Linked DNA regions of Sus scrofa. The protein of the gene in region 1 purifies or fractionates together with the protein of each later gene. This does not show direct contact. Links are inferred from orthologs where the notes say so. Each region holds a gene or a part of one and is shown on either strand. Other genes may lie near its edges. The genes, in order: UBR5, ATMIN and CEP78.

Evidence for each region.
Region 2: the proteins of UBR5 (region 1) and ATMIN purify together in Homo sapiens (affinity purification with western blotting; 3 studies listed by BioGRID). This does not show direct contact. The link is inferred for Sus scrofa from reciprocal best matches to the Homo sapiens genes UBR5 and ATMIN.
Region 3: the proteins of UBR5 (region 1) and CEP78 purify together in Homo sapiens (affinity purification with western blotting; 3 studies listed by BioGRID, with this or other methods). This does not show direct contact. The link is inferred for Sus scrofa from reciprocal best matches to the Homo sapiens genes UBR5 and CEP78.

What each region holds. Positions count from the first base shown.
Region 1 is NC_010446.5:34,761,083-34,764,735, forward strand, and holds part of UBR5 (E3 ubiquitin-protein ligase UBR5), read left to right. Parts: intron 1-868; coding exon 869-992; intron 993-1,596; coding exon 1,597-1,708; intron 1,709-2,692; coding exon 2,693-2,824; intron 2,825-3,197; coding exon 3,198-3,455; intron 3,456-3,653. UniProt on the Homo sapiens protein: E3 ubiquitin-protein ligase involved in different protein quality control pathways in the cytoplasm and nucleus. Mainly acts as a ubiquitin chain elongator that extends pre-ubiquitinated substrates.
Region 2 is NC_010448.4:7,209,581-7,213,333, forward strand, and holds part of ATMIN (ATM interactor), read right to left. Parts: intron 3,745-3,753; coding exon 1,932-3,744; 3' UTR 1-1,931. UniProt on the Homo sapiens protein: Transcription factor. Plays a crucial role in cell survival and RAD51 foci formation in response to methylating DNA damage. Involved in regulating the activity of ATM in the absence of DNA damage. May play a role in stabilizing ATM.
Region 3 is NC_010443.5:231,087,583-231,091,235, reverse strand, and holds part of CEP78 (centrosomal protein of 78 kDa), read right to left. Parts: intron 2,935-3,653; coding exon 2,760-2,934; intron 321-2,759; coding exon 207-320; intron 1-206. UniProt on the Homo sapiens protein: Centriole wall protein that localizes to mature centrioles and regulates centriole and cilia biogenesis. Involved in centrosome duplication: required for efficient PLK4 centrosomal localization and PLK4-induced overduplication of centrioles.

The DNA.
Region 1 (3,653 bases):
TATTAAACAGCAGTTGAGACTAATACTCTATTAATTTGAAAACAGAGTGGCTAAGTTGACTTTTTACGTGTAACTAGTTTAATTCTGATTTTTCAGAGCAGCCGAGGTGAGGCAAGAACACTGTCAGTGTCAACTCTTAAAGATCCTTTAACGTCTTTTGGTCTGTTTCTTAATTTGTAAACAAAGAATAAGAGGTCACAGGGTTGTTTTACAACCATCTTCTGATCTCTGACCTTCATTTTAAACTGCGTTCTCTGGTTCTTCCTTTTGTTTTATATTGGAGGAATCTGTCCTTTCTTGGCTGTTCCCGAGTCCAATTTTTAGGGGAGTACAACAATTTAGGCACCCCATCTTTTGTTACGATTCTATTTTAAAATCATACTTTTGAACTTCTTTTCTTCCCCACACCCATCAGCAAGTCAGTGGTTAATAAGCCGGTGCAAAGTAGGTCATGGTAGTCAGGTCTGTTAAAGGTAGGAAGCACACTTTCTCATTAGTGGATAAATGCTGCTCTTGGAGCCTTCAAAAGTTGAAGACTACTGGTGTTAAATGCAATAGAAAAGAAAAAAATCTTCCCTGAAGAAATATTGTAGTGGAAAGGACTCAGAAAAGTATGTGCACTAACGCAAATCGGAAGTGACTTCCTAAAGAGTAAAAATAATTCTGAGTTTTATCAGTTAAAAAATCTCTGTGGTCAAATAATTTCTCTGGGATTCATATTTTCGGATAGACCGTAGATTAATTATTGCCGGTTTGCAAGAAGTTTCAAAATAGCATCCTAGCCAGTGAATCACACTGAGTAACACTGGGAAGCGTCAAGGTCTAGCTGTGTGTGGCAGCAGGATGCTCATGACCTGATTCCTTACAGCTCCAGCCCGTCTCAGTCGTCCTACATCATCCGGAATCCACAGCAGAGGCGCATCAGCCAGTCACAGCCTGTTCGGGGCAGAGATGAAGAACAGGATGATATTGTTTCAGCAGATGTGGAAGAGGTGGTTTCATTGTTTTGATTGTGGTAGATGAGGCTTTTATTTGGGAAGGAAGGGGAGAGTAGTCACTAGAAGTGTTATTACGAGGAGCTTACGGCTGCTACGTGTTTATGCTTCCACCTTTTAGACTTTTATTATATGTTCTTATATGTGATTATGCATCTTTAAATTTTTTAATAATCCTTGATTTATTGGATAATAAGTTAGAAAGGTAAACTTGTTCTACTTGAGGGTTCACAGAAAAGCTATTCTCAGTGGTAAAAGATTTTAGTACTTTTGTGCAAAGTATTTGATGGTGGAGAGGAATCTGCATGTTTATTATGTAAATTTTGTAATTGCAAAAGTTTAAAAACGCATACCCTCCCCCACACAGTTGTACTTTTAATTTTAAGGTTCTGTGTATGGACCGTAATCATAAACTGGGACATGCTACCATAATATTTGAGAGCAGATTGTCGCCAGCAAATGAAAATTTTCAGAACTGCTTACAAATTGCCTGTAGTTAGGCATCTTTGAATTTTAGTTTACTAAATGCTCTGGAGGACTACTGGTAGAGATGTGGGTTTATTATGTACTTTGATTGTCTACAAATAAGATCTGGATTTAGGTTGAGGTGGTGGAGGGTGTGGCTGGCGAAGAGGATCATCATGACGAACAGGAAGAACACGGGGAAGAAAATGCGGAGGCAGAGGGACAGCACGATGAGCATGATGAAGACGGTATGCAGGTTATTTGAGAAATTCCTCAGTATGAGAGGTCAGGTACCCTTAAGAAGTCTTAGTACAGAGAAGAGCTGTAGTTGATGTATAATGAAATGTTCAATGTATTTTCTGCCAGGGGATTCTGTAGTATCTGTCGGAATTTTAGAAGGTAGCTGTATACATACGTGCATGTAAATCTATTTGCTTTTATATATTTACATGTACAAAATAATTTATCCCATTTTCCCTTTGCCTTTTGGTTTACACTTTCTATTTTCTTAAAAGGCTTTCAGAAACTAAAATAATCATAACCACATAGTATTTGAAGATTAGAGAAAAGGAAAACTTATGACCCACAATCCCACCCACATGCTAACACATTGTGTCATTACTTTCAGTCCTCCCTGTATTGCCCCCATTCCCACTCACATCTCCTAGATACAGGGTGTATAAATTCTGTTACGATTATCATTTTGGCCTTTTTGCTATGCAGTCATCATAACCATTCTTACTAGTAGCCGTAGGACAGACTTTTCGGGATCAGTTTTATGGAGGTGGAATTGACATACCAACATGTATGGAATAAACTACACATGTTGGGAAAATTTATAATTTTATCTGTTTTGACGTGTGTATACTGTGAAATACAAAGGATACATATTTTAAACCCCCTTCTGCTCTTGGAATCCCAGTATGTAAAACAAATGAAAATGGAGGGGCGGGCCTAACCCAGAGCTCCGCCCACTGGCTGAAGTCCCCTTGCCTAACATTGCATAAGGCTGTACAAGCCAGACTTTGAATCTGTGTCCACTGAGTACCATAGTTTACGTAATCATTATTCTTCTGCTACTCAGGTACTTATCACTTCTCTTGGATACCCCCCGCCATCCCCTCACCGAGCCACTAGTTCCCAACCTTATAATATTCTGGCTTATCAAACCCTGTCTTGATCCGCAATGAGTTGTACCATTTTTTTCCTTATTATTTAACTATATTTGCTAGGGAGTGACATGGAGCTGGACTTGTTAGCAGCAGCTGAAACAGAAAGTGACAGTGAAAGTAACCATAGCAATCAAGATAATGCTAGTGGGCGTAGAAGTGTTGTCACTGCAGCAACTGCCGGCTCAGAAGCAGGTAGGTCCTTATCCTAGCAACTTTCGTGCTTACACTGAGGCTATGGTGTAGAATTGGTTAGACTGTGCTCAGTATGATATGCACGAGGGTGGCTAACCCTTTTAATAACTTCATCCCTTTGTTGATATTAGTGAAGGTTAATATTATTTCAATGATTCTTTCTCTTTTGCTTTTCTGGTTTTTAAATAATAATATTTTTAAGTTTCATTCAAAACAGTTCTAGTTCAACTATTTTAATGACGGGTTTTGTGGACTCTTGGATGCAGTCTTGCCATTCTATTTAATACGTGTATTTTCCTGAATGAGGGGGTACACTGTAATTTTAAATGTCAAATTCACAACAGTTTTGGTTTTAAAAATAAAAAAAATTTAGGTGCGAGCAGTGTTCCTGCCTTCTTTTCCGAAGACGATTCGCAATCAAATGACTCAAGTGATTCCGATAGCAGCAGTAGTCAGAGTGACGACATAGAACAAGAGACTTTTATGCTTGATGAGCCACTAGAGCGAACCACCAATAGCTCCCATGCCAACGGTGCCGCCCAGGCCCCCCGTTCCATGCAGTGGGCTGTCCGAAACACCCAGCATCAGCGGGCAGCTAGCACAGCCCCTTCCAGCACATCCACGCCTGCAGGCAAGTCTGAAAACTTGGTATTTCTAAGAGTGCTTAAATAGGTTTTAAAATAATGCATGTTCCTGTAGAGAACAAAGTAGTTTCGTGATAGTTGTTTTGCTGAGTTCAAATACAAAAATTATTTACATATGCTTACAGCAGGGTTTCTCATTCTCTGCACCATTGCTACCTTGGGCTGAGTAAATTACTTGCGATGAT
Region 2 (3,753 bases), on another chromosome or scaffold:
ATGAGTATGTTGAAGAATTCGCAAAAATGGGTAGAATTCTCACTTTTTAATCACTGAGTTTCAGCTTTTACAAATAATCTTAGAACAATTCAGGTAACTAAGGTTTGGGGAGACAGTTCTTACTTGTACATGAATATTACATGCTCCATTTTTCTGTAAATAACTCAATAGGCTGGATTAACAAACAATGTCACAGAAACACACAAGAAATTTAAAGCCATAGATCGCTGCGTATCTATTTACAAAAAGCCATCAACAAACATGCATTTCTCCTTTAGCAGGAGAACTTAAATAGATGTTTGAACATTAAGGCAGTGATGATTCTAAAACATAATGAAATTCTAAGTTAAGGCTTTATGTTTGTTTGGAAACCCATATTCGTAGGCAACTGTGACCAAAGCAAGCTTTCATCTACCAGGTTGAGTTCGTCTGTGCAGGAGATGTCACTTATCCAGTACCCACAATTCTTGAGGACAGGAATTAGTAGCAACACCACTGATTTACTTTAACGAATTCTTAGTCCCCTCCTTCGTTTTATTTCTTTTGAGGATTTAGCCTTCAGCAGCGAAGCACATGCCACAGAAGGAACACAGCATTTTTTTTGCGATAAACTTAGAAAAGTTTACAGGCTTCACTGATTTCTACTTGCCTGGAAGTTGGCCAACAATCGAGAACTCAGGATGTCCTAAATAACCCCCCAAAGCAGACCTGATCACACATCCATCTCAAAACACACATGTTCTTGATTACCGAAGCCGTCAGTCTTCACCTCACTTTCTTGGATGGTATTCCCCCCTTGGAACGACAAAATGCAAAACGCCATAGCTTAGACGGCTCTAGACTCTAACTGCTATCCTCAAGGCACAAACACTGTCCTTGCGAGACCAGTGTGTTTCCTCACTCAAGGAAAAAGTGAGAGGTGGATGACAAGATTCACTTTGACACAACTGTCGACTGCACTCCTGCCCTGTCAGGTTCACGCCAAGTACTGAAATTTAGCGGGGAATGTCCTTTTCTCCAGACATTTTTTCCTCTTAACATTTAGAGTGACCACACTCGGAGTCACTGGTCGGCCGACTGTGGGAGGAAGAGGAGGGCGCTCGTAGGGCACACTCCAGTGAGAGCCAACGGGCATGGTCCCGAGGCCCAGCCTTGCCACAGTGCGGTGACGTACTGTCGTTCAGACTAGAAAGATCGCTGTTTATACTAAGTGCTTGCCGCTACTTCCTGAAGCAAATATTTTACAGCGACACCTCCTGTGAGGAAAGTACTATATACGTACAGCGGCATCGGTAACGGTGCATGTAGAGGAAGGATGGCACTGACTAGAGGAAAACTGGCAGGCGCTAAAGACAACTGGAGCTTTCCTTTTGTCTTCAAACTGGGGAAGAGTAAGATGGCACAGCAGATGAAGCTGCAGGCGACACGAGTCTCAAACCATCTAAGCGCTGGTGTTTCAATCTGATGGTGCAGCATCAGATATCTTTAGGTATTACCGTGAAACAGGAATTTCTAACAAGCACTGGCAAAAAATATTTTAGGTGCAATTTAAGTCATACTTTGAACTACAATGTTTTGAAGATTTGAAAAGTTTGTACCCTAGTCCTGGTGAGCTTGGCTTCAGCTGAACAGCTAGATGGGTTTTAAAGGTATGAAATACATTTTTTTTTAAAAGAAGGGAAGACTACACTGAAAGGGCAAATGTAGGCGACACAAAAACAATCATTTTGAGATCAACATCTTACACTTTATAATACTCACAGGTTTTTACACAAATTTCATGTTTACAAGTACAAAAGGCAAAGAACCTCAAAGAATCGAAGTAACTGGATCATCAACTACATTCAGTAGAGTTAATACTGCTGTCCCCCTTCTCCCTCCCTAAAGCCAGAGGGGAGGTGCAAATGCCAGTCCCCACGCCGACTCCACCCTTAGAAGTTGGAGACCGGGTGCAGTTCTGCACACGTCTGGGTTTCTACAGAGCTGAACTGAGATTCCATCGTGTTCCAGGCCAAATCGGCCAGAAGAAAGTCATCCATTGCTGTCTGCGTTTCATTGCTGGTGAAGAATAAGCTCCCCAAAGTCTCAAAGCCAGAATTCATGGTTTGTGTTTCTGCGCTGTTCAACTGCACTTTGCTTTCCAGAGCAGGGATGTTTTTAGCAGCAGAGATTCCTTCAGTCTGGGTCTCTGTGTCAGACGAATCGGTACTCATGGAGAAGCTGGAGTGTTTCAGAATACTTCCCAGAGGCAGATGAGGGCTACTGTCTAAAAAGAAGTTCAAGTCCGTCTGTGTCTGTGTGTCAAACATTTCAAGGCCTAAGAAGTTAGAGTTTCCCCGACAAGTGTAGGACTGGGCAGAGGTGTCTGCCAGCAAGAAGTCAGTTTGGGTCTCTATGTCCAGCGACTCCAAGACTGGCTCAGTGGTCATGGTGCTAAGCTCACTCTCCTCAGTTTGGGTCTGGATATTTGAAGCTGAAAAGAACTCTTCGATATCAAAATCAATTGCAGGATTCTGGGCTGGGCCAGATGGGAGCTGGGTGTCAGGTCCAGTATTTGCGTCAGACAAAAGACCACGATTGTCCAATGTCTGGGCAGGCAGATTACTTGACAGGATGTTTTCTAGGTCGCTTAGTAAATCTATGGTTTGGGTCTGATTATCTGTCATGTTCTGTGAAGGAAGCAAACTATTCTGTGTGCTAAAGTTTATAATTGGTGCAGATTTCTCAATATCTTGACTCAAAATTTTGGGGTGGTTCTGAGGTAACAAACCATGAGTTACAGTCTCTGCTACTAGGCTGCTGCTTATAATATTGTCTGCAGAAACACCATATGATGAATGGACACTCTCAAAAATGTCTCCACACATTACAGCTTGGTCCATCTGTTCTCGAGCATCTGCCGGGCTTTGCATTCCACTGGTTTGAGTTTCTCTGGAGATCCCACCCGGCTGGAAACAGGCCTCTATAAACCCATCAGTCTGAGCAGCTATAGATGAGGTCACCTTAGAACTGGGCAAAAAAGTCTGCGTATGAACACTAATGGGAAGGGAAACTTGAGAGCCAAACGTCAAATCAGTTTGAGAACAAGACGATACAGAGGAATCAGGGCTAGCCCACTGCGGAGAAGGTATAAAGGGTTGTGTGGTGTAAGACAGATCTGTCTGTACGTTGATTGAAGAGATGCTGTTCTTCTGACAGGGGCTCCCTAGTTCTTGTAAAGGGTTCGATGGACTTTTACCCAAGTTCACTTGAACACCTGTGCTAACTGGCTCAACAGCAACAGGATTTACAATTTTTGAAAGAGGGAGGCTCTCCTTGAGAGAGCAGGCCTCTGAATCCAGGCCGAGGATCAGGGTCCCTATGGACAAGGGCAGTAAGTGCACAGCACTGGGGGCAGCGCCCTGCTGATCGACACCCAACACCACAGGCTGGGCTGAGGAGTCTGCCGTAGGCACAAAGACAGGCACAGGAGAAAACTGCATAACGGGGAGTTTTACCAAGGCCACTTTGGGCTTTGGTAAAAGCAACTTCTGAGGATACCTTGGAGGTGGTGTCAGAGTCTGCTTTCTGGCATTAGTGCTGCAAGAGTCTTCGAAAGAAGCCGCCAGCTTTATTTCTGAGGTTTCTAGTTCTTGAGTGTCTGGCCTAGGGGTTGGTTGGTTACGCAGTGATTCAACAGTCTTACTGGACAGCTTCTGGTTGTGCAGGCAGTTTTCCATTTTCCTTTTTTTACTAGGTGGATCCCTGAAAACA
Region 3 (3,653 bases), on another chromosome or scaffold:
CACAGAGGCTGAACTACTGACTGTGAAGTTATACCTGGATTTTCAACCGTCTGGGGGGCAGCACCCTAACCCCCATGTGGTTCAAGGATCAAGTGTATTAAGTTAGGAAAATTAAGCACATTAGGCTTTAAAAATTGTCAACACATGAACAGATTCTTTTTGTTTGTTATTTGTTAATCAATAGAAAAAAAAGAGAGACCACATACCAACAAGAGGATTTTTTCTTATATCCAGAACAACCAGAGTTCTATTTGTTTCAAGGGCCTTTAACAAAGCCTTTGCTCCTTCATTGGTGAGGCCACACTGCTGCAGGTCAAGGGCTTTAGATGAGAGATAAAACGTTACTTGCTAACTCTATACAGATCTATACAGATAGACAATGCTCACTTATTCAAATGTGGAAGAGTCTTGCACAAGACCAAATACGGCAGGCTTTTTAATTTTCGGATATTGAAAAAAAGAGAAAAGCACATGCATAACATAATGCAAAACCCAATTGAAAAACTATTCTTGAATTCATGATTACCCTCCCTTTAGTACTAATAAATCACCCACATATTTTAGTTACAGAACTGAAGAATAACTTCATATATCCTATGAGTGAAAAACATCACAAAATCAATCTCACTACATAATTAGCAAGGGTGGGAGTAGCAGTGTACACCTCGCAGGCAAAAATGATAGACCTCAGAAATTGCACTGTATTCTTTTGATCATGATCTAGAGCTCCAAACTACTCTTGAAACTAGTTAAAAGAGGAAAACAAAATAGAAGAAACACAATAGCTTTTAGTTTTAGAACAAAAAAGACGAAGAAGTCAAGAGGATACCAATCCAAAGAATGTGTGAAGAGAGAATATATGCTAAAAACCTATCATGACAGAATGATGGTCAAGGACTCTTTCCAGAAAAGGTTAGACAGGGAGTCCTCTGGTGGTTTACTCCTGCAGCCAATCTCTGGTCTGGGAACTGAGATCCCATATTAAGCCACTGTCGCAGCCAAAAAATCAAAAAATAATAAAAAATTAAAACAAAGGCTTATAAAGTTTTGAAAGGAAAAAGAAAGATCAGGCCAAAAAACAGAACAAATGATCATGAATTCTACTAGTTTGGGGGCTGAACAAGCTACTTGTTTAAACTAAAGGGATCATCACAAAAACACAGGTATAAAAATTATTACATAAAAGGAAATGACTGCAAGTCTTTTTTAAAAAGTGTTGTATATACTATTACATTAAAATAACCAGAGTCTTTCAAAACCCCATGACATACAGGATAGCAAGTCAGATGTAGATTTCTGACAGAACATTTTACAAAACTTAAAACTTTCACTACAGAAGAATGGACATAGGATATAATTAACCAAACAACCAAATTAAAGAAAACGAGCCAGTAAATCTTAATAATTAATCAAATGAATACAAAATATAATAAAATGTGCTTATTCTATCAGATTACGCCAAGACTACGTAACAAAAGCCTTAAAAATGCATATACCCTTTTGCTTTTTTAGGGCCACACCCAAGCCACATGGAAATTCCCAGGCTAGGGGTCAAATCGGAACTACAGATGCTGGCCTACACCACAGCCACAGTAATGCAGGATCTGAGCCAAATCTGTGGCCTATACCACAGGTCATGGGCAACACCAGATCCCCGACCCACTGAGCAAGACCAGGAATTGAACCCTCATCCTCAGATTCGTTTCCAGTGTGCCACAATGGGAACTCCCACATACATCCTTTTGATCCACAACTCTCTAAAAATTCAGCCAAAAGAAATGATCAGAGATGTAGACAAGGATGTGTATCAGAGCACTGTTTATAACTGGACTTAGCTTATTTAGAATGGCTAAGCTAAGCGTACTATGGCATATTCATACAATGGAACACTGAACAGTCACTAAAAATGATGTAGTAGATATAAATTTATTGACTTGTTAAGATGCTCATACTGTATTAATTGAAAAAGTTATAAAATTTGGAGTAATCTTGCTTGCATAAAAAAGGTGGAGGTACTCATTTTTGCAGTTTTCCAGTATTTGAAAGTGCCATAAACCAGTGTCTGTGAGGGCTCAGGCCTCACATACGCTGTTGGGATAGACTATAAACTGGCATGGCATTTCTGGACGGCAATTTGGCAACATGTATCAAATGTCTTAAAAGTCTATCACACTTATGGGAGCTCCTTTGTGGCTCAGCAGGTTAAGGATCTGGCATTGTCACTGCAACAGCCTGGGTGGCAGTCCAGCCAAAAAAGAAAAAGTATATCACACTAGTAATTCCACTTACAGTAACTTATTCTATAGAATTAATCCCTACGGACAGAGATGTATATATAATGTATTCACATTGTTTTCTGACAGGGAAAAGCAAGCTGCAAAGATCTGATTAAACTACAGGACATTGATACAATGGAATACTATATAACATCATTAAAGGAAAAAAGCAGAGATATGAAATATTAAGTACACTACAATTCTTTTTTCATAATCCCTAAGTGTACAAATATAGTTACAGGAAAAAAAAGGCTGAAAATATATACACCGAAGTGAACAGTGATTATGTCTGGGTATTAAGATTATAGGTAACTGTTTTCTTGTTACTCTCTGTTTTCTATAAAGAATATATGCAATTAGTAGATAAAAGCAAAATGAAGGCCACTGGAAAAATGAGGCTTTGAAAAAAATCCTATGATAACAGCATCATGCCAAAACTTAAGCATATTTATTATATTCAATATTTTCAATTTTAGAATTTACCTCTAAGCCATAAATCCTCACTAAGAGATTCTGCAAAAGCACTTGCACCAAGGTCACCAATGAGCGTGTTGCAGTTCAGGGTGATTCGCCTCAAACCAGCCATACAGTCAAGATCAGGTCTCCTGTAACGAAGACTCTCAGCCCATGTTTCTTCATGCCTTCTGATGGTCTGATACTTCAAAGATTTAATAGGATGAAATTAAGATGCTTGAAGAGGGAAAAAGAGTATGCCTACTGACTATTGCTTCTTATGTCAGACAGAGACTAATATACACATTCCAAGTATATATGCCAGGAGAGTCAACCTGAGAAATTAAAACAGTCAATTCTGGCTTAGGAGCCTAGTGACCCAAATTCCAGTCTGCCAATGATCAGACTCTAGCCACTGGAGGACCTGTTTTTGATTAGTTACGTAAACTTTGACAACTCAATTAGTCCATGAATTTTATTTTCTTAATCTGCCAAATCAGGGAATTAGCTCTAAATTTTATTACTGAGGCTCTAAATTTTATTATTCTGTCCTCCAACGGTCTCCAAACACTTGGCTGGGTATCCCACAAGTAAACATTTTAACATGTATCTTATTTATTAATAAGTTATATAAATGAAATTCTATACATATGCTTTATGTACACTGTAAACTACACAAATATTTTTTATTTTAGAAAAAGTTTTTTACGCCACACCCATGGTATATGAAGTTCCTGGGGCCAGGGATAAAATCCAAGCAGCAGCTGCAACCTATACCACAGCTGTGGCAACTCTGGATCCTTTAACTCACTGTGCCAGACCAGTGATCAAACCTGTGCCTCTACAGTGACCCGAGCCGCTGCAGTTGGACTCTTAACCCACTGTACCACAGAGGGAACTCCTACACAGATATTTTTCAAATGA